7 linked regions of the Macaca fascicularis genome follow. The protein of the gene in region 1 interacts with the protein of each later gene in a pairwise test. Links are inferred from orthologs where the notes say so. Each region holds a gene or a part of one and is shown in the gene's direction. Other genes may lie near its edges.

The links.
Region 2: the proteins of UBQLN1 (region 1) and KLHL42 interact in binary tests that used the Homo sapiens proteins (3 or more experiments, as listed by UniProt). The two-hybrid records come from large-scale screens. The link is inferred for Macaca fascicularis from reciprocal best matches to the Homo sapiens genes UBQLN1 and KLHL42.
Region 3: the proteins of UBQLN1 (region 1) and SCG2 interact in binary tests that used the Homo sapiens proteins (3 or more experiments, as listed by UniProt). The two-hybrid records come from large-scale screens. The link is inferred for Macaca fascicularis from reciprocal best matches to the Homo sapiens genes UBQLN1 and SCG2.
Region 4: the proteins of UBQLN1 (region 1) and NME3 interact in binary tests that used the Homo sapiens proteins (3 or more experiments, as listed by UniProt). The two-hybrid records come from large-scale screens. The link is inferred for Macaca fascicularis from reciprocal best matches to the Homo sapiens genes UBQLN1 and NME3.
Region 5: the proteins of UBQLN1 (region 1) and FZD7 interact in binary tests that used the Homo sapiens proteins (3 or more experiments, as listed by UniProt). The two-hybrid records come from large-scale screens. The link is inferred for Macaca fascicularis from reciprocal best matches to the Homo sapiens genes UBQLN1 and FZD7.
Region 6: the proteins of UBQLN1 (region 1) and AGPAT5 interact in binary tests that used the Homo sapiens proteins (3 or more experiments, as listed by UniProt). The two-hybrid records come from large-scale screens. The link is inferred for Macaca fascicularis from reciprocal best matches to the Homo sapiens genes UBQLN1 and AGPAT5.
Region 7: the proteins of UBQLN1 (region 1) and DEFA6 interact in binary tests that used the Homo sapiens proteins (3 or more experiments, as listed by UniProt). The two-hybrid records come from large-scale screens. The link is inferred for Macaca fascicularis from reciprocal best matches to the Homo sapiens genes UBQLN1 and DEFA6.

Annotation. Positions count from the first base shown.
Region 1 is NC_088389.1:114,273,281-114,276,653, reverse strand, and holds the end of UBQLN1 (ubiquilin-1), read left to right. Parts: intron 1-894; coding exon 895-1,047; 3' UTR 1,048-2,873; downstream 2,874-3,373. UniProt on the Homo sapiens protein: Plays an important role in the regulation of different protein degradation mechanisms and pathways including ubiquitin-proteasome system (UPS), autophagy and endoplasmic reticulum-associated protein degradation (ERAD) pathway.
Region 2 is NC_088385.1:30,523,537-30,527,612, forward strand, and holds the start of KLHL42 (kelch-like protein 42), read left to right. Parts: upstream 1-1,276; 5' UTR 1,277-1,346; coding exon 1,347-2,218; intron 2,219-2,789; coding exon of another isoform or gene 2,790-2,835; exon of another isoform or gene 2,836-4,076. UniProt on the Homo sapiens protein: Substrate-specific adapter of a BCR (BTB-CUL3-RBX1) E3 ubiquitin-protein ligase complex required for mitotic progression and cytokinesis. The BCR(KLHL42) E3 ubiquitin ligase complex mediates the ubiquitination and subsequent degradation of KATNA1.
Region 3 is NC_088386.1:119,541,411-119,545,599, reverse strand, and holds the start of SCG2 (secretogranin-2), read left to right. Parts: upstream 1-1,389; 5' UTR 1,390-1,466; intron 1,467-4,189. UniProt on the Homo sapiens protein: Neuroendocrine protein of the granin family that regulates the biogenesis of secretory granules.
Region 4 is NC_088394.1:2,535,351-2,538,499, reverse strand, and holds NME3 (nucleoside diphosphate kinase 3), read left to right. Parts: upstream 1-1,431; 5' UTR 1,432-1,455; coding exon 1,456-1,501; intron 1,502-1,584; coding exon 1,585-1,715; intron 1,716-1,838; coding exon 1,839-1,940; intron 1,941-2,014; coding exon 2,015-2,127; intron 2,128-2,241; coding exon 2,242-2,359; 3' UTR 2,360-2,649; downstream 2,650-3,149. Other genes in the region: MRPS34 (small ribosomal subunit protein mS34), read left to right, coding at 1-181, 334-376, 481-773. UniProt on the Homo sapiens protein: Catalyzes the phosphorylation of ribonucleosides and deoxyribonucleoside diphosphates, other than ATP, into the corresponding triphosphates with ATP as the major phosphate donor.
Region 5 is NC_088386.1:97,857,375-97,861,649, forward strand, and holds the start of FZD7 (frizzled-7), read left to right. Parts: upstream 1-1,475; 5' UTR 1,476-2,272; coding exon 2,273-3,997; 3' UTR 3,998-4,275. UniProt on the Homo sapiens protein: Receptor for Wnt proteins.
Region 6 is NC_088382.1:7,082,835-7,086,998, forward strand, and holds the start of AGPAT5 (1-acyl-sn-glycerol-3-phosphate acyltransferase epsilon), read left to right. Parts: upstream 1-1,364; 5' UTR 1,365-1,661; coding exon 1,662-1,880; intron 1,881-4,164. UniProt on the Homo sapiens protein: Converts 1-acyl-sn-glycerol-3-phosphate (lysophosphatidic acid or LPA) into 1,2-diacyl-sn-glycerol-3-phosphate (phosphatidic acid or PA) by incorporating an acyl moiety at the sn-2 position of the glycerol backbone.
Region 7 is NC_088382.1:7,297,027-7,300,240, reverse strand, and holds DEFA6 (defensin-6), read left to right. Parts: upstream 1-1,352; 5' UTR 1,353-1,394; coding exon 1,395-1,587; intron 1,588-2,483; coding exon 2,484-2,593; 3' UTR 2,594-2,714; downstream 2,715-3,214. UniProt on the Homo sapiens protein: Host-defense peptide that contributes to intestinal innate immunity and mediates homeostasis at mucosal surfaces by forming higher-order oligomers that capture bacteria and prevent microbial invasion of the epithelium.

The DNA of each region.
Region 1 (3,373 bases):
CTATCCCACCCGCCTTAGCCGCCTCCCAAAGTGCTGGAATTACAGGCGTGAGCCACTGTGCCCGGCCTGCTTTCTGTTTTCAGGCCTTACTAAATACAATAAACAGAGTAGTGTTCTGTCATATACATATCTGTATTCCTGATAAGCCAGCGTAGTATAGTTTCTGGCTCATGGTAGGTACTCAGTAAGTATTCATGGAATAAATAAGAAAGAAGGATTTGGAGTATTAGAATTAATTGTTACATAAGTTAACTTACCTCCGAATTACCAAGTAGGCCTAGGATTGATTGGTCATTTATGTGATTTATGTGGGGTTTTTTTTTTTTTTTTTTTTTTTTAACTTCATTTCTGAAGAAAAGATTTGATGCTGCTGAATTGTCAGAATTAAGAGTATAATTTTGGGCCTGAAACTGAAACTCTTTTCTAAGAATTGACTGTCCAGTGTGCAAGTTAAACTCACATTCATTCAAAGAATCATTGAAACTTTAGAATTTCATACATGAGGATACCGGCTTTTATAAGTTACTCAATTGGTCAGTAGCTATACAAATCATCTAATTCTGAACTATTTGTATATATATATGTGTTCAAATTTTTCTGCACGTACATGATCCTCTAAAATAACGGTTGATGTTTATTAAGCTTCCCCCCCTTCCCCACCAAAGTAGAGTCGTGATCTATTTGACGTGATTAGGTATAAACTAGACTATTTAAAATAAAGTGCTAATGGACTTTTAAATATGTTGGATATGTTTCAAGAGGTGGGCAGTGTTTTTGAAGCTCAGTAGATCAGCATATGTTATAAAAAAGCAATTAAAAAATTTTAAAAGTCAGTCAGGTGTGGCATGGATTGGCTTCCTTTAGAGTTGGATTAATTTTTTTTTTCTTTAATAGCTACAGAATCCAGAAGTCAGATTTCAGCAACAACTGGAACAACTCAGTGCAATGGGATTTTTGAACCGTGAAGCAAACTTGCAAGCTCTAATAGCCACAGGAGGTGATATCAATGCAGCTATTGAAAGGTTACTGGGCTCCCAGCCATCATAGCAGCATTTCTGTATCTTGAAAAAATGTAATTTATTTTTGATAACGGCTCTTAAACTTTAAAATACCCGCTTTATTTCATTTTGACTCTTGGAATTCTGTGCTGTTATAAACAAACCCAATATGATGCATTTTAAGGTGGAGTACAGTAAGATGTGTGGGTTTTTCTGTATTTTTCTTTTCTGGAACAGTGGGAATCAGTGCTTTTCATTTAAGGCTACTGCATGCATCACTTCTGCATTTATTGTAATTTTTTAAAAACATCACCTTTTATAGTTGGGTGACCAGATTTTGTCCTGCATCTGTCCAATTTATTTGCTTTTTAAACATTAGCCTATGGTAGTAATTTATGTAGAATAAAAGCATTAAAAAGAAGCAAATCATTTGCACTCTAATTTGTGGTACAATATTGCTTATTGTGACTTTGGCATGCATTTTTGCAAACAAAATGCTGTAAGATTTATACTACTGATAATTTTGCTTTATTTGTATACATATAGAGTATGCACATTTGGGACTGCATTTCTAGAAACATACTGCAATAGGCTATCTGAGCAAAACACCTGTAACCAAAAAAGTGAAGATAAGAAAATACTCTTAAAGCCGAGTATTTCCTAATTGTATAGAATCTTACAGCATCTTTGACAAACATCTCCCAGCAAAAGTGCCGGTTAGACAGGTTTGTTGAAAATATAGTAGAAAAACTGATTCTGGTTATCTCTTTAAGGACAATTAATTGTACAGACACATAATGTAACATTGTCTCAACATTCATTCACAGATTGACTGTAAATTACCTTAATCTTTGTGCAGACTGAAGGAACACTGTAGTATACCCCAAAGTGCATTTGCCTAGGACTTTTCAGCTTCTCCCATAGGTAGTTTAACAGGCATTAAAATTTGTAATTGAAATGTTGCTTTCACTGAAAAAGTGTCTAAATGTTTCAGTTATTTTTAATCGCCATATAAAAATAGAACTCTCTTTTGGGTTTATCTGTTTTCTCATGCACAGGCAATACACGAATTTAAAATGAGTTGTGAGCCAATTGTTTCTGGAGTGTTTTGGTAGTTCTGTTACGAAATAGTTAAATATTGTGCTTTTCAGAGCCTCAGAAAGGGGGACGGGGTGGGGGGGGCGGGCAGTGGAATCTATCCTGGATGGGGCCAGCTTAAATAATACTGGCAACCAAGATTCTGTTAGGATTTCTGTGCATATAGTATAGTAAAGAAGTATCATTCAGGGGTGAAAAACAAAGAGCCGTTTTAATGATGTTGAGTACATTTGGCTGTTTTATAGCCTTTTTCTTCCCTCCCCAAAGAATTCTGTTTGCCTAACTCCCAAACTGTTGGGGTGGTACATTCCTTTAGGACCAATTAAAACAGAGTTTAGGGTCAGTAATACATTTGGCTGACTCTGGTTCAGTATTCTCTTAGGTGATTATATTCTCTCATGTACAGTTACAGGAAATTAAAATGTTAAAGTAACCTAAAATGAATTCAGACCAATAAAATCAAGGGAAATACAAGTTGATTCCATTACTTCTGTACGTTGCTTGCTATTAAAAAAGGTTAAGAGGCCAGGTTACCCACCAGTCCATGCACTGTTCTGACACTTTCCCCAGGAGGAAAACAAGTACAAAGGTTATGGTGGAGGCATGAGTAGAGATTGTTGAGAAGGGTATTCATGTGTCTTTGCTCTTTCTGCTTGATGCCTCAGTCTGGTTTAAAAACTTCTGTACTGGCGAATGTGGTATTCAGTGTGGGATAGTGTCATAACTAATTTGACAATTTATTAATCACAAAATAACAATAAATCTCTAGCTTTTACATTTGATTTGTCTTGCCTCTTTTGTAGAAAGAAAAACAAATGTCTATAACTTTTGCTAACCATGTGTTTTAAAGGCTATTGAAGTTGATTTACCCCAGATTTTGTCACATTTTACATTCTTTATTTTTCAGGTTTTCCAATTAAAATGTCACATGGTCTTTTGTGGTGTGATAAAAAGATAGCACACTGGGAAGGTAGGTGACTTGAGCTCCACTTTTGATCTTGGTACTTGACTAGTTATGTGACATTGAGGCGTCATGATTTCTTTATTATACGTGTACTGGTGAGGCTTATAGGTGCACTGGACTGGGCGAGAAGCTCTGAAGTACCTTCAAGCAGCTGCAGTGGTATGGTTTTCATTTTTAATATGTTTACCTTTAGGTCTAAGTCTAAAGATAAATATCTACATCTTAAGGGGTTCAAAATACTTAAAATTCTTATCAGCACTAAAAGGATGTTTAAAATACTGTAGGCTTAAACTGTTCTCATATTGAGTGATAA
Region 2 (4,076 bases), on another chromosome or scaffold:
TCCGGAATAGCTGGGATTACAGGCGCGTGCCACCACACCCGGCTAATTTTTGTATTTTTAGTAAAGACGGGGTTTCACCATGTTGGCCAGGCTGGTCTCGAACTCCTGACCTCGTGATCTACCCACCCTGGCCTCCCCCAGTGCTGGGATTACAGGCGTGAGCCATCGCGCTCAGCCAAACTGAACGTGTGATCTCTCTTAATAGTCCTCAGATGATGGGGGCAGGGTAGGTGGAGAAACGGGGTGACAAGAAAAGCTACCTCTTGCAGACATCTATGAGCTGATTTTGTCAGATCTTTTGCGACAGGATAACATTCCGTAATGGCTAGTCCAAGCAGACTGAAGTAGACAAGCAATGGCTCATAGAAAACGTGGTTTAAAACCAGAAGCCACGTGATGTAACTTTATTTAGTCGAACTGCGCTTTCATCTTTCTTTTAATAACTTAGGGAGAACAAAGGGCCCCAGTGGCAAATGCAAGGTCCCCTGCCTCCCAACCCGATTCCTCTGAGAACCTGCTGCCATCTGCCTGGACCTCCTGTAAGATGGCTCCTACGCGACGACTCTACCAGAGAATCAGCTCTACGTGCCACCAACATTGCCACCAACATGTCCACAGATTGCCTGCTTGCCTCAGCCCACTGACACTCGATGCCGGACTGGGCCAGAAGGACGATCCTAGATTTGATGCCTTTTTGTCTCCCTGGACCAGAGACTCCCTCCTCTTTCCTCCCACGTTCATTTCTTTTTCTTTAGCCCGTGTAAAGCAGCGTGGGAGAGAAAACTAATTTCTTCTCCCTGGGGTACCCCGGAGCATCGCTGCAGCCCCTGGCAGGCGGCGGAGCCGCGCGCCCCGGGCGTGCGGAGAGGCTGCGGGGACGCGCGCCCTCCGCCTCCCGCAGCTGCGCGTCCGCAGCCGGGGCGCCCAGGCCCGCAGCCTCCCGGGCCTCCCCGAGGGCCGGATCCAGCCTGCAGGTCAGGCCGGCGGCCGGGGTCCCACAGGCGGAAGTGAGAAGGGCGGCAGGGGAGGAGGCTGCGGGCTGGGGGCAGGGATTCCCTTCCCGCCTGGCGCCGCCTGGGAGAGCCCGCGCGAGGACGCCCGGCGCGCTCCGCCGGCCCTTTTTTGGCGCTGAGGAAAAGGAGAAGGGCAGAGCCGCCGCCTCGCGGGAGCGGGCCCCGGGAGGAGGGGCCGCTGGAGAGGCCGGGCGAGCGCGGGCCGCCCTCACCTCGCCGCTCCTCCCGGGCCGCCATCCCTCGGCGCCCCGCCCGGAACCGGCGCGCGCGTGGGGGCGGGGAGGCCGGCGCGCAGATCTGGCGGTGAGCGCCGCCGTCCCGGGGCCCCCAGCCATGTCGGCCGAGGAGATGGTGCAGATCCGCCTGGAGGATCGCTGCTACCCGGTGAGCAAGAGGAAGCTCATCGAGCAAAGCGACTACTTCCGCGCCCTCTACCGCTCCGGCATGCGCGAGGCCCTGAGCCAGGAGGCCGGCGGCCCGGAGGTGCAGCAGCTGCGCGGCCTCAGCGCGCCGGGCCTGAGGCTGGTGCTGGACTTCATCAACGCCGGCGGGGCCCGCGAAGGCTGGCTCCTGGGCCCGCGCGGGGAGAAGGGCGGCGGGGTGGACGAGGATGAGGAGATGGATGAGGTGAGCCTGCTGTCCGAGCTGGTGGAGGCGGCCTCCTTCCTGCAGGTCACGTCTCTGCTGCAGCTGCTGCTGTCCCAGGTGCGGCTCAACAACTGCCTGGAGATGTACCGCCTGGCGCAGGTGTACGGGCTGCCCGACCTGCAGGAGGCCTGCCTGCGCTTCATGGTCGTCCACTTCCACGAGGTGCTGTGCAAGCCCCAGTTCCACCTCCTGGGGTCTCCTCCCCAAGCTCCAGGGGATGTCAGCCTGAAGCAGAGGCTGAGGGAGGCCCGGATGACTGGGACTCCTGTCCTCGTGGCCCTCGGGGACTTCCTGGGGGGACCCCTGGCCCCTCACCCCTACCAGGGGGAGCCCCCGTCCATGCTCAGGTACGAGGAGATGACTGAGCGTTGGTTCCCGCTGGCCAACAACCTTCCTCCCGACCTGGTCAATGTCAGGGGCTATGGGTCTGCCATCCTGGACAACTACCTCTTCATAGTGGGCGGGTACAGGATCACTAGCCAGGAGATCTCTGCTGCGCATTCCTACAACCCCAGCACCAACGAGTGGCTCCAGGTGGCCTCCATGAACCAGAAGAGGTAAGCACCCCGGCAGAGTGCTGCTGCCTTCTCATTCATTCACTTGTTCATTAGTTCATGGGCCCGGTGTTTACTGAGCCAGTAAATAGGGGAGGGTGTGCTGAGGTGGAAATGACATCTTCAGGAATGTTGTTGGCCTTGGTGCTGGCAAAGTTCCCAGTGAACTAAGAAATTGCGAAGAGGAACTCCCCAGTGAGGTCAAGTAGTGGAGTGGTTTTTTGGCAGGTATTGTGCCTTTAGGTGAATCTGCTTTCTTTGTCTCTGTTCTTGTGAAAAAAGATGTCGTGATTTCCTATAAGAATACTTTAAAAGAAAATTGCTCCTTAATTTTTAAAAAAATTTTTCTTAGTTTTTAGGATTCGATCCTGATGGTAATGACACACTGGACAGTAACCTGTGACACTGACTTTGGGGGATTTTTTTCTGTTGTCAGTGACTGTGACAGCAGAGAGTCTTTCACACTGTGACACCCATCATGACCAAGAGATAATCACTGGAAATGTATTAACATTTGCAATAGGGGTTGCTTTTCTTATTTTTTATCTTCTCTTTTGCTTCCTTCCCTGGACAGCCATCGTCATGACCCAAAGCTTGAGCCTGGAAGTGTTCAACTATAGAATTGGAATATTTTCATTTACCCAACCTTCTCCCCCTCCCATCCTGCAAATCCCTCCTGCCTCCAATATGGGTGACTTGAAGAAAGGAAGAGGAGGAGCTTGGGGAGTGGGATGAGAGGGGAGAAGGGAAACGAACCAGGGAAGGAATATGAAAACAAGAGCAAAGAGCATATACAGGAAGAGATGGTAGGAAATAAAGACGGTAGCGCCGAGGAGGCCTCAGAGTCATTCAGAAGCAGGGAAGAGAATCAACGTAACTCAAGAAAGAATGAAAATACCCTTTCTTCCCATCCACGTGTTTCCATCTCAGTCCTCACAGGGTCCTGGTCCTGAAGTGTGGAGCAAGGAATTGGGGAACTCACAGCTAGGCGAAGGAAGTCTTAACAGTAACAGAGAATCCTTTATATATCTATCTATTTGACTCGAGGGTCCTCCTTGGCCAGGGATTATTTGGGGAAATAACTGGCTTTATTTCTCCTATAATATGGAATTCATTTTGAAAAGTATGCTTTTTTCCCTGATAATACATGGTTACAGAAAACTAGAAAATGGAAAAGAATGAAGAAGCAAAAAGATGATTATTACCACTCGTTCTTCCTAGAGGCAGTAACTGCAGGTTGGCATATTTCCTGCCAGCCCATTTTTAATGCATTATTTGCACCATTGAGATGATACCATATTTAAAATTTGGTATCAGAAGTGTTATTTTAAAACATTCTATGCGCTGTAATTGAAACAACAAAGAAACATTGTGTGGCTATGGGTGGTGGTCTGATTAGGGGTGGGCGGCCCTGAGTTCTCTGTCTCCTCTTACATGCCTCCAGCTACACATCATTTGACGCTCACCAGGCCATCCTTAGTACCGCAGTTCCTCACAGTTCTTTCTTCCCTTCATACATCCTTGGTAGTCTTTGTCTTTTTTCTAGGAAGGCCCTTTTCATCCCCTGAAAAAAAAAAAAAGCATTCAAGTAATGCATGAATGCATGCTTCTTAGAAAAACTGCAAATTACACAAAAATACAGAGTAAGAAGAGGAAATGTCTGCCCTCAGGGTACAGAAAAAAAGTGTCAGTGTATCGACAGACTTTTGTTACCTTTAGATATTATAAATGTATAAACATCTATATTTGTAAATTACATGTATACTTATATAAATACACTTAACCCTTAAGTAATGTGGGGGCTAGGGACACCGACCCCTGCACAGTCAAAAATCCCCATATAACTTTTGACTCTCCCAAA
Region 3 (4,189 bases), on another chromosome or scaffold:
AAATGGTCCCAAATACTGCTAGCTAACCTCTCTATTGCTGCTTTCCAATTTATATGAAAATTGTGTGTTTATTTGCATATCATTCCCATTAAATGAAAGGCTCATCAAAGGCAAAAAAAAAAATCACTCATTTTTGTATTAGTTAACAATTGTGCATTTAGCAATGTATCTGGCACCTAGTAGGTATTACAATTTATTGAATCAGTGGCTGATGGTTCATTTAGCAGAAACACATGGGATCTCTTATATAGCAAGATTCTATTGCATTCTTAAAGTATATGTCAATATATACAGTTTTTAGAAACTCATATCTTTAATAAAATAAAGTTTAAAATTTATATTTATATAAATTATTGAAATATATAATCAGGTTATCTGGCAAGGCAGAGCAATGATTATGAATTATAAATCTGAGAGATTGAGAGTTAATTGCTGTATTATTCCCTGGATTGTTCACATTCATGGAAGGTATTCAACTTATCTGATTCAACAGGAGAAGGGAAATATTTATAGTACAATGTCCTTTCGATTGCAAATGAATTCTAGTTACGTATGTGTCACATTTTTTCCAAACAGTGAAAAGACTTTTTTTTTTTTTTTTTAGTAGATGAAAGTATTTTCATCAGCACTCAACTTCTGAGCTTCCCTTTCTGAGATCAGATATTGTAAAAGACAGTAAGAGAGATACAAAGAACTATTAATTACTAAGCTGGAAGTCTTATAAATACCCATTTAAAAAACTATGTAAGCTATTAAAGTTGACTCTCATATAAAAGAGAGACAACGCTCTGTTTTATTCAAAAAAATATGATTTTGAAAGAATGATGGCTATGGTCATGATAAGAAATATGGCCTTTCATATTTATAATGTGTCCTTCATTCATCTTGGGTATACCAGGAAATGGTAATGTAATTTCTTTGTGGGCAAAGATGGAAAAATAATCCTTGTCTGTAAAACTTTCTTATAACAATGACGACAACAATTACAACAGTGACCCCAAGAAACTATTATAACAAGATGCTAGAACATAGATGAGATTGTCTTGCAATTAGCTATGTCTGTCTGACACACATTTCTTTCTTTGTAAGAGAAATCGTGCCGAGCAGTTTATTCTGTCTCAAAGGTTTTGATTAAAGAAAAAGGAAAACTGCAATTTTTGCCACAAAAAGACAGGTGGCGTAAGCATGCAACTTTTTTTTTCTTTTCTTTCTTTCTTTCTTTTCTTTTTTTTTTTTTTTTTTTTTTTTAATATAAAGTGATTATTTTCTCTCGGTTCTTTGAAAAAGCTCGCTTGTGCTGGGGTTTGTGGCTGAGCCCGGTGACGTCAGTGTGGCAGTGCGGAGTCAGGCGCAGCAGCTCCCTATAAGCAGAGGAGCTGTCCGTGTGCTGAAACGGCCCGAGAAGCTCGCCCGGAGAACGGGGAGGAACATGCTGTGGAGCTCCTCTGCCATATAAACAAAAAGAGGTAAGGCTGCTTTTCTCTTTGATTTACTGGAAAGTTCTAATATGCATGCTCTTCTTTTAATTCCTAGCTGAGGAGAAAAAGACTGTTTGGCAAGCTTATGTGATAGGATAACTGAATAGCAACCTGCTGCTCATCAGCCGATGTGAGGACACTACATATGTGTAGATACATGATCGGGTCTATGCTTTATACTACTTGATGTTGGATATTTACCAACCAGAATGTTATTTAGATAATCATATTAAAAGGAGTGAAAAAGTTAAGGATTTTAGTGTGAATACACAGATTAGTGTAAAGTTAACCAAGCCCAATACATTGTTTCTTTCCAAAATTTATTATTTCTGCTACTAAGAGCCAGATACGAAGCCAGGGGCGTAATTTATATGTTTAATATTCTTAACAGTAGGTTTCCAATGATTCAAAGGCTGTTAAGCATGTTAGTCACAAAGCCAACCAATTTTGGAACTAGTTTTTTTTTTTCTTTGATATTCATCTCACAAGAGCTCTGAATTAATTAACCATATAAAATTCTTTTCTGAACTTGTATATTTGAAAGAGCTTACATCATTATCTCCTAATTTTAGTCCTAAGGTATTAACTTAGGATTTTCCTGAACACTGGATTCTTCCTTTTTCCAGGGCAAAATATTATCTGGGGTTATAGTTTGGTTGTGACCATGAATTACAGAGAAATGATAGTTTTGAATACATGATGAAAATATTAATAACTTTGTAAATTGTTGTTATTACTATAATTTGATTTAAAGAGGATGTTCAGTATGTTGTTAAAGTCTGGGACAAGTATTTCTTTTTCTCTGTTTCCCAACTAGTTGAATTGCTTAAATTATATATAGTTACCTGCATGTGTCAATGCTCTAGTCTGATTTCAACAGAAAAGACATTTTAACTTGAGAGATATTGATGATAGCTGTCAGGGGAAAAATATGTTCTAATTATTTGGATTTCAGAAAATTCAATTTTAAATCAAACCTTATAGAGAGTAGTAGAGCTGTTGAAACATCTTTACTACTTGAAAGGGCTGCTACCTGGGAAAAAAATCCTTTGGGTCTCACTCAAAGGCAGTAACTATGTCATTCAAACTGAAGCAGAATAGATAAGCAAAGGGTAGCACTTGTTAGGCTGTGGTGTAAACAACTGCAAGGAGTATTGTGCTTCAACTTTACAGCAAAGTGCAGTTCCAAGATAATGATTTTAAAGATAAGCATATAATCCATATGTTAAGACTATTTAAGTATTGTGGCTTCAGAGAAAATAAGTTCAATAAGGTTTTTAAGATTATTATTTCAAATCCCAATGTTGAAAATTGATTACCAAAGCTAAATTAATCCTGAAATAATATAAACAAGAGTGCATAATGTATTTTTACTTGAACCTCATTATTTTATGAATAAAATTACTTATAGTAAACATGCATTTATAATAAATACTTTGGAAGTATCCTCTCAAATGCCTTTCAAGATTTTTCTTTCAATAAATTATGTATTCTGGTAAATGTGAATCATTTAAATAAATATATATGTATGCTAAAATGTTTTCATAACTAAGCCATTATTGGGCTCTAAAAAACTGGAAACAAAATCGTCAGTATGATCTTGTGAACAATGGTATTTTCTATAATTGATGTTTAAGCTAACAGAAAATTGTATACATATAACTTAGCTTATCTATCACAAAACCATGATCTGGTAAAGATATGAACAAACTTATAAACTCCTTTTACATTCATTCTGTTTACAACAAAATAACAAATATTAAAATAGTTTTTTTCAATGTTAGCAATATTAAATGTAAGGCACATAAAAACTAATCCTCTTACCAATTCCTATGTGAGATTTTAAGGCACTGGAGAAAAAATGAATGGAGATTTTTAAGTAGGAAGAATTCAGCACATCATCTGTGTTTATTTGAATTGGGATTTACATAGTGGTTATTTTAAGATTTTTCTAAACAGTATGAGTGATTTAAGATTTCACAGGTCCATACCAAAATAGACACAGACATAAGACAAACTGAATCTGAACACTCACAAGTTCAGAAATAGACTAGCTAAAAAAACTTATGTTCTCTCTGTAGCATCTGTTATTATTTACTATGCACTCTTGAGGGCTGATGAAAAGTATAACCACAATTGCATTTTGCAAGACAGTCATAATAGAAATTATTAGAAGAAATATGGAGCAAAGAGATTTTAAAATGCTTTATTGGTTTAGCACATTTACACAAAAAGAAACTTCACTGGTTTAGTCAACTGGCTGGAATCTGAGAAGACCTGTGTTCTAGAGGTTATTTATGGATCATTGGATTTGCTATCAGATTGAGAACAAGTTATTTCTGAAAAATATATGTGGATAGGACTCCCCACAAGGTAATTCAGTATGATTGACATATAACAGAATCACTTTGTCATATATGGTCATGTAACTGCTGCTGTGTTTCAACAACAAAATTAGATGGACACTTCAGGAAATAAACCACATGTTTTTTGACACAACTTTAAGGACATAGTTTGTGGGCGTGTATGTGTACATGCGTGTTTTAAATTAAGCCAACACATTATTTGGCCAATGACTTCACTATATAACATAATCAAAACATCTTGGGAAGTATTTGCTGCTTTATTATAAAGAAACAACATGTACTAAACATCCAACTGCAAGTTCTGTAAATGAAAAAATAAAATTTGAGAAATCTCATATCAGTGTT
Region 4 (3,149 bases), on another chromosome or scaffold:
ACGCCGGCTGCCGGTCCGGGCCTGGGCCGACGTGCGCCGCGAGAGCCGCCTCTTCCAGCTGCTCGGCCGCCTCCCGCTCTTCGGCATGGGCCGCCTGGTCACGCGCAAGTCCTGGCTGTGGCAGCACGATGAGCCGTGCTACTGGCGCCTCACGCGGGTGCAGCCCGACTACACGGCGCAGGTGCGTGCACCCCGTCCGCACCCCGCCCCTGCAGCCGCCTGGTCTCCCCGCCTCCCCTCCTCCCTGCAGGTTTGCGTGTCTGAGGCTCCCACCTCCTGATCTCGGGGGCCGAGAGCCTTGCGAGCTGACCTCGCTTCCCTCTGGTTTTGCAGAACTTGGACCACGGGAGGGCCTGGGGCATCCTGACCTTCAAAGGTAAGGCTCGGGAGAGCTGGTGGAGAGCGGGTGCGCGGCAGTTCGATGCCGACCACCGACGGCACAGCAAATGTGTGTGCAGCACACCTCTTTTCCTTCATCAGGGAAGACGGAGAGCGAGGCGCGGGAGATGGAACACGTCATGTACCATGACTGGCGGCTGGTGCCCAAGCACGAGGAGGAGGCCTTCACCGCGTTCACGCCGGCGCCGGAGGACAGCCTGGCCTCCGTGCCGTACCCGCCGCTCCTCCGGGCCATGATTCTCGCAGAACGACAGAAAAATGGAGACACTAGCACCGAGGAGCCCATGCTGAATGTGCAGAGGACACGCATGGAACCCTGGGACTACCCTGCAAAACAGGAGGACAAAGGAAGGGCCAAGGGCACCCCCGTCTAGAATGCCAGAACCAGAGGGTGGCCTGAGGGGCTGTGAGGCAGCAGGGATCTTGTAGATGAAAGAAACCGTCTTCGCGTTACACCCGAGTCTGCCCCTCGGAGCTGGGAGGTCACCTTCCGCGACGTTTTCTGAGGATCTGCATTTTAGTGGGGAGGGCTGGGGCAAATCGCCACCTATGTTTTTCCTCTGGCCCTGCTGCCCCCACACCAACTCCGCAGGCTCACGCTGGGGAAAGCGGGAAGCGCTAACTCCCCTTCCCCCATTAGTGCTCTCTTTGCCTGGATCCCGGCAGAAGCTATGAAAGGGAATAAAGAGAAAAGAAGTACCCCGGGTTGCGGTGTCTGCGCGCTGTCTTTAGGACCGGGGAGAGAAGGGCTGATGTTGTGGTCTTGGCCCTGGCCGGGGGGCGGGGGCTCGGGCGGTGCGGAGCAGGGCGCCGCGTGGGTGGAACCACCTGGGCGGGTTGTGGGGGATACAGTTAGTGTCCGAGCCACTGGAGGAGACTTGGCCTCCGCAGCTGCCCTCTGGCCCCCCACGGCTGCTGGGTTCCGGGGTGCAAGTGAAGCAGCCTCCCTGAGTGCGTCCGCGGAGGCCGCCGCGCCGGGACCAGGCCTCTTTAAGCGCAGGCCCCGCCCCGGGCGCCACCGCCCCGCCCCGCGGAGCCCGCGCCCGCACCGCCATCATGATCTGCCTGGTGCTGACTATCTTCGCCAACCTCTTCCCCGCCGGTGAGCGGAGCGGAGCGGCGCGGGCGGGGGGTGGGCGGCCGGTGCTGGGCCGGTCTGACGCCACGTCCCCGCCTGCCCCGCAGCTTGCACCGGCGCACACGAGCGCACCTTCCTGGCCGTGAAGCCGGACGGCGTGCAGCGGCGGCTGGTGGGCGAGATCGTGCGGCGCTTCGAGAGGAAGGGCTTCAAGTTGGTGGCGCTGAAGCTGGTGCAGGTGGGGGCGCGGGGCGCGGTGGGCGAGCGGGGGCGCGGTGTGGGGGGAAGGGGGGCGGGGACCTGGGGACCTGGGGACGCCTGGGTGCCGGGTGCGGGCGCAGGCGGCCTGACCCTTCCGCAGGCCTCTGAGGAGCTGCTGCGCGAGCACTACGCCGAGCTGCGTGAACGCCCGTTCTACGGCCGCCTGGTCAAGTACATGGCCTCCGGGCCGGTGGTGGCCATGGTGAGTGCCCGGGAAGCGGGCGGACGGCCCCGGGACCCCACCCCTGCGTGATACCGCCCCCGTCCCCCGCACAGGTATGGCAGGGGCTGGACGTGGTGCGCACCTCGCGGGCGCTCATCGGGGCCACGAACCCGGCCGACGCCCCGCCCGGCACCATCCGCGGGGATTTCTGCATCGAGGTTGGCAAGTAAGGCTCGCCCCGGGGACGGGCCCAGCCCCGTCCGGCCTCCCCCAATTCGGCCCTCGTGGGACCCGTGCCGGAGCTCTCCTTCCCGCGCTCACGCGCGCCTCTTCCGTTCAGGAACTTGATTCACGGCAGCGACTCGGTGGAGAGTGCCCGCCGCGAGATCGCGCTGTGGTTCCGCGCAGACGAGCTCCTGTGCTGGGAGGACAGCGCCGGGCACTGGCTGTATGAGTAGCCCGGCAGGTGCGCCTCGCAGAGGCTCTGACACCCCAGCCTCCTCCAGGGGCCAGGTGGCCGGGCTTCTGGCCCCACCCCGCAGCGCTTGGAACATCCACCTGTCAGGACGTTGCATCGAAGGTGGCGGGGGCCTCTCCAATCCCTGGCGTACAGGGCTTCCTGCCCGAGGAGCTGCTCCAGGAGCCTGCGCGGCTCGCCTGGAAACGTGCCAGGACACTGTCCTGGTGCCCAGCCCAACATGGTCCAACGTTTCTTTTTATAATAAAGTGAAGTCCTCGTTTTCGTGTCGGTTTGGGTCCAGAAACAGACGTTTATTACATACAGAGCAGATATGTGGGTTTGCTTGCAGGGCCAAAGCCTGAGGAGAATCGTCACCCCTCCCCCAGCCGCACCACTGCTCAGCCCGGAGTCACTTCGAGATCCTGGGGGAACAGACGAGGGAGCAGACATACATCACAGTGGAGGTGGCAGGGATGGTGGGGAGAAGCCAGCAGCGCAGTGGCTGCAGCCCACGGTGGCCAGCGGGGCTTGTGGGGCAGCTCCCCAAGATCTGTGCTTCTCTGGTTGGGGGTGGGTGCGGGGGCTGGGCTGCCCTCATCAGGGCCTCCCAGACAGGAGTGCAGTGGGCCTGGAAGGTAGGAGTAGGCCAGCGAGGCCCGGCTGGACAGGGAGAGCAGTCCAGGGTGGCCTCTGCCCGCTACGGGCTTGGAGTCGGCTAGGGGCGGCTCCATCCTCAGCCCCATGGGCCTCTGCTTGGTGGCCTCTTGCTCCCGGGGAGCAGGCCACAG
Region 5 (4,275 bases), on another chromosome or scaffold:
TCGGCCCGGAATAACGTTTTTTAAAGCATAGGATTGCTCTGTGTGTGTGTGTGTGTGTGTGTGTGTGTGTGTGTGTGTGTGTGTGTGTGTGTGAGAGAGAGAGAGAGAGAGAGAGAGAGAGAGAGAGAGAGAGAGACAGAGAGAGAGAAGAAGAAGGAGGAAGAGGAGGAGGAGGAGGAGGAGGAGGAGGAGGAGGAGAGGTCGATTGATTTTTTTCCTTTCCTTCTCAACATGTCACTTCCCTGCATGGGAATTCCTGATATTCCTGGCAGCCCGGAGAGAGGGGAGATGCCCCCCTGGTGACTTCTGACCCTCCAGGAGTAACCAGAGAGAGCGCGCGCGAGCGCCTAGCGCCTGGCGCAGGACGAAGATTTAACCGAGAACAAAAGAACGTTTGCCAATCAGAAAACGCTACCCGAGAACGAGGATAACCCCGCTTTGTGTTTTGAAAACTCTTTAATTAGCCTGGTTTCTAAGACGCATTTAAGCATTTCTATGCAGATTCTAAATGGAGGATCTAATGGTTGCTTCTGCAACGAAGATGGGATCCCGAAAGGCCACACGCCGCAGAACCAAAGCACACGGGGCCACTGAGACGCCCGGCGCGTCGTACAGAGTGTTCCTGGGCGCTCGGTCTCAGGTTACTTCTAGAACCAGTCTCCCCAACGCCGTCTTCGTTTCCTTAAAACCTCGCTAGAGCCACCCCAGCTCCCCAGACTCCAGGCCGTGCGCGCGGGCGGGGTGGCCTGAGCCCGGGTTCCCCGCGCTCCCCGCTTTGGGCCCTTCCTCCCACCGTCACTCGGCCCCCTCCGCCCGACTCGGGTTTCTCCTGAGGCGGCCCCTCCTCCTTTTTACAACTCGGGAGAGGGGAGCGGGGACTGTGGCCTCGCGTGGACTGTTTGGGTCCAGGGGGAAAGAAGCGATCCTCAAGGCGCACCCCCTTCTCGCCCCGTCCCAAACCACCCATTGAGGACCCGGCGACCCGAAAGCCCCGCCAGAGCCAGTCTTTGCAGTCCTAACGCGACTCCCGGTCACGTCTCTCCCCGCAGGGGCGCTGCGCGGTCCTCGCTCCCCGCAAAAGCTGCTGGCGAAGGAGCCCCTGCTCAGGAATGCGCATCTGAGTGCACCAGGAAAAGGAACAAATCTTTGAAGCAAATTCCCTTTCTGCGCGTTTTCCCCCCTGAGCGAATTCAGGGTAAAAGTTTTTCCGAACTTTTCCCTCCCAGTCCCCCGCCCCTCCCCTCAGGAATCCGCCCAGAGCGCCGCGGACACCGCCTCCGCCGCTCCCGCGCCCGCCCCTTCCGACTTCCGCCCAATCCAAAGGCGGCCACCGAAAAAACAAAGGCTACCATTGGGCCGCCGGGACCTGGGGCCGCCCCCGGAGTGGTTTGTGAATGGGGGGAGGGGAGGGGGCGGGCCGGTCCGGAACCCCGCGAGCCCGACGCTTCTTCTGGCGACCAGCGCGACTCCGAGGCGTTAGTCGGCGCTCCCTCCCGGCGGGCGGCGGCGGCGGGCGCCAGGACTTGCGGCTGGGGCTGCGCGGGGCTGGAGGGGCCAGGGCCAGGCCGCGGGCACGAGCGCCTCGCGGTTTCGGACGCAGTGTGACTGGATTTCCAAAAAGAACTCGCCGCGCTCCCGACTCTGGGGCCGAGATCGGACTCAGCGAGAGCCGGCCGTTTGGCTGAAACTTGGGGCCGAGGTTTTGGGGTTGAAGAAGGAGTGGGGTGTGGAGGAGGAGGCGAAGGAGGCGGCGGCGAGCGGAGCCTGGAGGCCAGGAGGCGGGGCAGCACCGCGGAGGCGGCGGCTGGGGCGAGCGGGCGGCGGCGCCAGGGGTTCTCCAGGAGGGGGTTCTCCTGGAGGGGGCCCGACCGGGAGCGGGGGCCGTGCGCGCTGCCGTGCGCCGGGGGTCCAGAGACTTGGGCAAACTTTGAAGGGTGCCCGGAGCCGCTTGTTGCTCCTCGCGGCGGAGGGAGCCTCACCGTTAAGTCCTCGCGGGGAGAGCAAGGCGGCCCTCCTCGGCGCCCCCAACCCAGGCTGACGAGTTTTGGGCCCCCGGCGGCCCTGCGAGTGCCGGGCGGCGGCGGCTGCGGCGCCCCCGCGGCGCGGGCACCCAGGCGGCAGCGCCCTTTGCTCCACGCCGCCCACGGCCCGGCCCCGGCGCCGTGAGGACTCTCATGCGCCGGGCGCGGCGGCGCCTCCCCGCATCCTTGCCTCTCCCAACCGCCTCGTCGCACTCCTCGGGCTGAGAGCACCGCTGCACTCGTGGTCGGCGATGCGGGACCCCGGCGCGGCCGCCCCTCGCTTGTCCCTGGGCCTCTGCGCCCTGATGCTGGTGCTGCTGGGCGCGCTGTCCGCGGGCGCCGGGGCGCAGCCGTACCACGGAGAGAAGGGCATCTCCGTGCCGGACCACGGCTTCTGCCAGCCCATCTCCATCCCGCTGTGCACGGACATCGCCTACAACCAGACCATCCTGCCCAACTTGCTGGGCCACACGAACCAAGAGGACGCGGGCCTCGAGGTGCACCAGTTCTACCCGCTGGTGAAGGTGCAGTGTTCTCCCGAACTCCGCTTCTTCCTATGCTCCATGTACGCGCCCGTGTGCACCGTGCTCGATCAGGCCATCCCGCCGTGTCGTTCTCTGTGCGAGCGCGCCCGCCAGGGCTGCGAGGCGCTCATGAACAAGTTCGGCTTCCAGTGGCCCGAGCGGCTGCGCTGCGAGAACTTCCCGGTGCACGGCGCGGGCGAGATCTGCGTGGGCCAGAATACGTCAGACGGCTCCGGAGGTCCAGGCGGCGGCCCCACTGCCTACCCTACTGCGCCCTACCTGCCGGACCTGCCCTTCACCGCGCTGCCTCCGGGGGCCTCAGATGGCAGGGGGCGTCCCGCCTTCCCCTTCTCATGCCCCCGTCAGCTCAAGGTGCCCCCCTACCTGGGCTACCGCTTCCTGGGTGAGCGCGATTGCGGCGCCCCGTGCGAACCGGGCCGTGCCAACGGCCTGATGTACTTTAAGGAGGAGGAGAGGCGCTTCGCCCGCCTCTGGGTGGGCGTGTGGTCGGTGCTGTGCTGCGCCTCGACGCTCTTTACCGTTCTCACCTACCTGGTGGACATGCGGCGCTTCAGCTACCCAGAGCGGCCCATCATCTTCTTGTCGGGCTGCTACTTCATGGTGGCCGTGGCGCACGTGGCCGGCTTCCTTCTGGAGGACCGCGCCGTGTGCGTGGAGCGCTTCTCGGACGATGGCTACCGCACGGTGGCGCAGGGCACCAAGAAGGAGGGCTGCACCATCCTCTTTATGGTGCTTTACTTCTTCGGCATGGCCAGCTCCATCTGGTGGGTCATTCTGTCTCTCACTTGGTTCCTGGCGGCCGGCATGAAGTGGGGCCACGAGGCCATCGAGGCCAACTCGCAGTACTTCCACTTGGCCGCGTGGGCCGTGCCCGCCGTCAAGACCATCACTATCCTGGCCATGGGCCAGGTAGACGGGGACCTGCTCAGCGGGGTGTGCTATGTTGGCCTGTCCAGTGTGGACGCGCTGCGGGGCTTCGTGTTGGCGCCTCTGTTCGTCTACCTCTTCATCGGCACGTCCTTCCTGCTGGCCGGCTTCGTGTCCCTCTTCCGTATCCGCACCATCATGAAACACGACGGCACCAAGACCGAGAAGCTGGAGAAGCTCATGGTGCGCATTGGCGTCTTCAGCGTGCTCTACACAGTGCCCGCCACCATCGTGCTGGCCTGCTACTTCTACGAGCAGGCCTTCCGCGAGCACTGGGAGCGCACCTGGCTCCTGCAGACGTGCAAGAGCTATGCCGTGCCCTGCCCGCCCGGCCACTTCCCGCCCATGAGCCCCGACTTCACCGTCTTCATGATCAAGTACTTGATGACCATGATCGTGGGCATCACCACTGGCTTCTGGATCTGGTCGGGCAAGACCCTGCAGTCGTGGCGCCGCTTCTACCACAGACTCAGCCACAGCAGCAAGGGGGAAACTGCAGTATGAGCCCCGGCCCCTCCCTACGTTTCCCACCCCTGCCCTCTTGCAAGAGGAGAGGCAGGGTAGGGAAAGAACTGCTGGGTGGGGGCCTGTTTCTGTAACCTCCCCCTCTACTGAGAAGTGACCTGGAAATGAGAAGTTCTTTGCAGATTTGGGGCGAGGGTTGATTTGGAAAAGGAGATCTGGGTGGAAAGCGGTTTGGATGAAAAGACTTCAGGCAAAGACTTGCAGTAAGATAATGATAACGACGATGTGAATCGTGAAAGGTACAGGCCAGCTTGGGC
Region 6 (4,164 bases), on another chromosome or scaffold:
GCATAAGGAGCATTAGTTGTGCACATTGTCCACACCCGTGACTTTTTCCCTCCGGTACTAAACCTAGTGCTTCTTACAGTACAGGGCAATGGCAGCCACAGAAAGGGAGAGAAGTTCTTTGTACTGTGTAATGCTTCCTGCTGGCCTTCAAATACTTGTTACTTGAGAGATCTCTATTCACCTGGCTTTGTCCCCAAAGGTCACCATCTACCAATGATGTTGTAACTTGATGTTAATCATGTATAAAGAAAGTAGCTACCATCCTGGCCCAGATTAGAACTTTCCACTGAAATGCCGTCCTGCCTAAAGGTAGCACGGGCTTCCATTATGGTGGTGGTGGGGGGGTGGAATATATATATATATATGGTAAAGCATTTGACATTCTTTTAAAGTACAACTATCCTTGAAAAGGGTTACATATTAAACCATTTTTACTGCAGCCAAAGAGGGGGAGAAAGATCCAGAAGGCCTGTGGATCTGCTTTAACATCAATAAAACAGCTATCCAGCCTTCCTAGCTTTTAGTGAAGGCTACAAAAGTATGTATTTTATGGATTCTACATGTGCACGCAAGTACTTTTTACTACAAAAAAAAAAAAAAAAAAAAAAAAAGGCTCCTTATTTAAAAAAAAAAATCAGAAACAAGTCCAACAGGCTCTGAGGAAATGAAGCAAGAGTGAATTCTGAAAAGGTCTAATAAACAGTATGGAAATATCCTTGTGGGGTGGTTCTTCTGCTATGCATAAACATGTAATTATCATCATTACTGTGATGGGAAAAACAGGGACCCTAATTCTGAAACACCCTGGTAAAGAGAGACGAGCGGGAGGGGCTGCTGCGCACTCAAAGGGGAGGCTGAGGAGGCGGCGTCCCCTTGCTAAGGACTGGCAGTGAGCAGACGGGGACACCCGAGCTGCCCTTCGACCTGGGCCCAGGTGCCTGCAAGACTGGGACCTCTGATAACCCTAACACCCCCTTTCTCACTGCTCTGATTGTGTACATGCCGGCGCCCAGGGGCCTGTGAGCAGGAGGTGCGCGTTCCAGGCACCTCCAGCGCCCCTTAAACCTGCCCGCGCGCACGTCCGGCCGAGGGAGCAGGACGAGTCACCCGAACCCTCGTCCAGCCCGCACCCACCTTCACCTAGCTCCGCCAGTCGCCACCTCCCTTCCAGCGTCCGCAGCCGGCCTAGCTGGGGAGCATGCGCAGTGGCCTGAGCTGGTTTTGCCCGCGCTCCCGGTAGGTAGCTGTACTTTAACTGTCGGCCCAAATCAACCAATCAAGAGACGTGTTATTGCCTCCGACGGGTACCTATGGCAACGTATGACCAATCAGAAGGCGCGTTATTGCCGCGGAGCCCCTCCCCCGGCGGGGGGGATGTGGCGATGGGTGAGGGTCATGGGGTGTGAGCATCCCTGAGCTGTGGATCCGGGAGGGCCGCGGCTTCGCTTGCCTTGCAGCCGCGAGCAGCGCACGCAGCCCCGCACTCGCCTACCCGGCCCCCGGCGGCGGCGCGGCCCATGCGGCTGGGGGCGGAGGCTGGGAGCGGGTGGCGGGCGCGGCGGCCCGGGCCCGGGCGGTGATTGGCCGCCTGCTGGCCGCGACTGAGGCCCCGGCGGCGGGCGGGGAGCGCAGGCGGAGCCCGCTGCTGCCGAGCAGAGAAGATGCTGCTGTCCCTGGTACTCCACACGTACTCCATGCGCTACCTGCTGCCCAGCGTCGTGCTCCTGGGCACGGCGCCCACCTACGTGCTGGCCTGGGGGGTCTGGCGGCTGCTCTCCGCCTTCCTGCCCGCCCGCTTCTACCAGGCGCTGGACGACCGGCTCTACTGCGTCTACCAGAGCATGGTGCTCTTCTTCTTCGAGAATTACACCGGGGTCCAGGTGAGCCGTCTACCGCTCCCAGGTCTCGGCGTCCACCCGAGCTCCCGGAGGCGTGGACCCCTCCGGTCCCCACCAGCTGGCGAGGGTCACCCGGCCGGCCCGGCGGACCCAGCACGTAGAGCACGTGCCGCCTCCCCGCCTTCCTCTCCGCGTGCTTCCTGCCGGTCTGCCGAGATCTCTCTCTAGGAAGCTGTGGCCGCGTCGTCCTGAGGCTACAAGTGGGACCCGCCGCCCCTTTCCCCGCCCCTCGCCTGGGTCCGATGCTACTTAGAAAAGTGGGTGCAGATGCACGTTTTAAATAGGGCACGCGTTTAGCAGTTTCTGGCCTTTGGTCCAAAGAGGTGGTCATGTTGGAACAGATCGGAGACGTCTACACTCCGAAGTGCGCTTTTACAATGACCTCTTGAAACAGAAGTACAATTCGGTCTTGTGTTCTTCCCCCAGGACAAGTGAAAGCTGGGCGAGGAAATAAATACATTTGTTACGGTAGAAACCTAACTAGATACAATTCTTGCCAACTTTAACTGGGTTTAAATGTGTGGGTGATCTGTTGTCTGATTACTTTCTGTTACTGTTTCTCTGTAGAGATTGGATTCGTAGATTAAACTTGAGAAACAAACCATAAAAGTAGAAGGCCCTCTTTAACAGTAGGTATTTGAAGTCTTATAAGAAATAACAAATGTGAATTTTTCTTTCATTTCTCAATTTGAAAGAACAGCTTTATTCTTGGTTATTCCTAATGTCCACTTAGTCCTCTTTTACTTTTCTTGGTAGGGTTAGGGTGGGATGGGGAAAATGGGACGGTATCATTTTGTCTTTTTAACTTTTTTTTCCCACCTGCAGCAGCTGTTTTTACCCTGTGGTCAGTCAGCTACTATATTTAGTTTGCAGTTGCACTGCTGATCGACCCTTGATGGTCCCAGTTGGAAGTTGTTTGGGGGGAAGGAATTAGGAGAGGCCAGGGCCTCCATTTAAACCAGTATCTGTAAATGTCTCCTTGGAAAGAAAAGAAGATACTATTCCAGATCATGGTTTCCTGGCAATTGACATTTAAAATGAGCCTCACTTAAAAATTTCAATAATTCAGGCTAATTTTTTCCCTTTGTATGGTAACTCCACCAAGTTTGTCTAAATGTCTGAGTTTTATCATGATTAAGTTTTTACTTTCACGTCATATGACAACTGGCCTGGGTTGGGATATAATCTCAGAACACAAAGTCATTCACTCTTAAAAAAATAATTCTATCTGTGGCGGGTTAGGTTATTTTTGTTCTAAGAGTACACAATATGATGCAGAATACACCATTGAAGGATTTTTTGGTTTGGCAAGTTCTTATGTTTTTAAATGGCTGTAAAACTTAGCAGTGTTTCTGAAATTACATACCTTACCTTATATACTGCTGACTTCAGAGCTCCAATTTACTTCTTGATTTCCCAGCAAGTGATTTTGAAAACATTTAATCTAATCATTTCCCCCCGCCCCATTCAAATCAAAGGAACTAGCGTCCAGCACTAATTTTCATGCACTTATGAAAGGATGCCTGACTTAAGTATAATTCAAAATTTTGTTTACTGTGTGTTCCTTGATGAAGTTCTTTAGGAATCCTAGAACTAACTGATTGCCCACTGATCCTCAAATGCAAGTTATGAACATTTAATACAAATTTAAAAGCAAGAGTTTCTTATTCCTGCATTTTTATTTTTATTGTTTGGAGGGGACAAATAATTATTTTCTGTTTACTAACAGAGAGCAGGGTATTTTGAATTTATTAGGGTCTTTTTCTGGAATCTGGGTTTCCTGTGTACACAAAGCTACCTTTCAATATTTTTGTTTGTTTCTTTTAAGATTAAACCAATAGAGGAATAAATAGCTATCTTCAAACATAAGACCCAAGGGAAAAAGATTTATAGTGACGTTCTGTCACCATATTTTTTACCTGTGACTTTGTACCATTAACTTTGTCACTGAGATGTTTTGATTAAAATTTTTAGCTTGCTTTTCTTGTTTTGTTAGGATACTCTTTTTTTCTTGAATTGTTTTTATCAGCTTTCGTTTGCAAGGCTAGTGATGATTCTCTTGTTCTGCATAAAGTATTGTTGACTCATTTCTGAAGGGAGTTTTAGTAATTTAAGAGGTTATAAGTTTTTAAATAAAAAGTTTATTAATTTATATATATTAAAGAGACATTTTAAAATAAAAATTTTTTTAATGACATTTTTATGCCTTTCAACTCTAGGTTTAAAAAATAAGTGGTTCATAGTAGTTCTTGCAGAAGAATATTTT
Region 7 (3,214 bases), on another chromosome or scaffold:
AGAGAAATTTAAAAAAAAAAAAAACAAAAAAAACACTAAAATTTGTATGAAATGGTAAAAGAACCCAAATAGCCAAAACAATTCTGAGGAAAAAAAAAAAGTTGAAGATCTCCCAATTCCTGGTTTTAAATTATATTACAAAGCTATAGTAATCAAAACAATATGATATTGGCATAAAACCAGACACATACCAGTGAAATAAAATTGAGAGTCCAGAAATAAATCCAAACACATATGGTCAAGTAATTTTTGACAAGGGCATCAAGAAGACACAATGGGGACAGGAGAGTCTCTTCAATAAATGGTGGTGGGAATACAATTTCCACAGGCAAAACAATAAAACTGGACCCTTCTCTTATGCCATACACAAAACTTAACTCAAAATGGATGAAACATCTGAATAGAAGACCAGAAACAAGAGACTATGAAAACAACGGTAGAGTTCTATGTGTTTTGAGCCACAAAGTATTCAAATTACAGCATTAGGGGGAAAAAACAAAGTGCAAACCAATGTGTTTAATTTTTAAGTGGAGATTTTCTGGAGCAGAGCTGCAAGGCTGGGGCAGGGATAGAGGCTCATTACTCCTTCTACCCTTTGAATATTCCTTGTGGGTGATTTAAAGTTTTCTAAAATAAAAAATAAAATAAAATTTCAGAGGGGGGTTGTGGGCATGTCAATTGTTTCGATATTTCTCAAAGTGGAGAGAAATACCTAGTACATATTTTACTTGATACGTTCAGATCACAATGGTTTCTTGAAATAAATCTGTCTCTTGGCTTTAGTTTTACTAACTCTTTACCTAGTATCCCACAGAGCTCATCTCCCCTATAAGCTGATAAGGTCATTGTCTTCTCCACACTGTGACCCACAAGAGCCTACTCACCCCATAATCTCAAAGCCTCCTTCATGAGGGCAGAAATGCCCCTCTGAATCCTGAAATGAATTAGCCCTCTACTCTAATGGAATCCAGCTCCGGCCTCAAGGTCTAGACCTCCAGAGAGTGGCCACCTACACCTTCAGAAAATAAAAGGCATTTGATTCCTGGACTTATTCAATGAAAGCACTGTTCTTTTCTTTTTTGAATATTAAGAAGTAAATATTCCAGCAGATGGAAAATAGGAAAGTGTAGCACTGTTCTTATCACCACTATCAGCTGGGACCAGAACAGACACTCAATGAATAGCCTCACACTTCAATGAAGATTGGAGAACAAAGGAGCATCAAAGGGACCTGGAGGGCAAGGGTAGCTCTTCTGCTCCCCAATTACATGCACACCCCCAACTCACTGCAGCATCTGTCTCTGAGCCTTCTCCCAGCAGACCTATAAATACAGGCTGGCTCCTCACTCCCCACACATCTGCTCCTGCTCTCTCTCCCCCAGGTGACCCTAGCCATGAGAACCCTCACCTTCCTTGCTGCTATTCTCCTGGTGGCCCTCCAGGCCCAGGCTGAGCCACTCCAAGCCGAGGATGAGCCACTCCAGGCAAGCGCTTATGAGGCTGATGCCCAGGAGCAGCGTGGGGAAGATAACCAGGACTTTACCATCTCCTTTGCAGAGGATGCAAACTCACGTATTAGAGCTTTGGGTAAGAGACACCAGCATTGCAGAGCTAGGAGTGTAGAGAGGAAAACCAAGCACGTCTAGAATTAGACCCAACGGCTGGCTCTTTCTCTTAGGTGATCACCTCCCCAGGCCTGAATTACTTCATGTTTGTACTGAAAAGAAAGAATCAGTGATATTCAAGAAATGACTTTTCTCTAAAGATTTTTTAATTCTATGACAAGTCTATGAAATTTTCTAATTTTTTGCTATGTAGAAATGTATTGAGGAGTCTCTACTTCAAGGAAGAGAGCCTAATTTTAAAGAAATGTTTTGTTTTGTTTTGTTTGATGGAGTCTCACTCTGTCGCCCAGGCTGGAGTGCAGTGGCACTATCTCAGCTCACTGCAACCTCCGCCTCCTGGGTTCAAGCAATTATCTGCCTCAGCCTCCCAAGTTGCTAGGATTATAGGCACCAGCCACCACACCTGACTAAATTTTGTAATTTTTTTAGTAGAGATGGGGTTTCACCATCTTGGCCAGGCTAGTCTTGAACTCCTGACGTTGTGATACACTCACCTTGGCCTCCCAAAGTGCTGGGATTACAGGCGTAAGCCACCACATCCAACTGCTAAAGGAATGTTTTTTAATCTGACTTTTATAGGAACCGTTGGTAGCTGGAGACAGTCATACATGTGCATTCAGACGTGTGTGTGACAGGGCAGGAGCAGATAAGTGCAGCATATCAGAATGGGTCTCTAATCCTGTGTGCGACCAACACTGCTCTGCATATTTATTCCTATTGATCATGCGATCATGCTATTGGCTGTAATGCAGCCAGCATTACATGTCAGCAAGCATGCAACTTCCCGAAGATTCTCTTTACTGCCCGCTGCTGACCCTGGTACTCAATGTCTGATGCTCTGTCTCTCTCTGTCCCCAGGCTCAACAAGGAGTTTCACTTGCAATTGCAGAAGGTCCTGTTATTCAACAGAATATTCCTATGGGACCTGCACTGTCATGGGTGTTAGCAACAGATTCTGCTGCCTCTGAGGGATGAGAACAGAGAGAAATGTATTCATAATTTGCTTTATGACCTAGAAGGAAACTGTTTCATGCCCTATACTTTGTCATCAACTTTGTTTCCTCATCTCAAATAAAGTCCTTTCAGCAAGTTCTCTGTGCTTGTGCTTTTCTGATGTTTGATAATTCAGGATCTTCAAATGCAAAAACAAAAAAACCAAGTCTTCTCTCAAAACACTAGCTCTTCCAAAGAGTTTTCTATGTACACCAGAGAAATGGTAGAGAGGATGTTGAGAGAAGAGAGGATTTGCGTTTTTGTTTTTTGTTTTTTGCTTTCTGAGATGGAGTCTTGCTCTATTGCCAAGGCTGCAGTGCAGTGGCACGATCTTGGCTCACTGCAACCTCTACCTCCTGGGTTCAAAAAATTATCCTGCCTCAGCCTCCCGAGTAGCTGGGATTACAGGTGTGCACCACCATGCCCAGCTAATTTTTGTATTTTTAGTAGAGACAGGGTTTCACTATGTTGACCAGGCTGGTCTTGAACTCCTGAGACCTCAAGTGATCCACCCACCTTGACTTCCCAAAGTGCTGGAATTACAGGCATGAGACACCGCACCTGGCCTTAAGCACTCCGTTTTAATGTTAATGCTG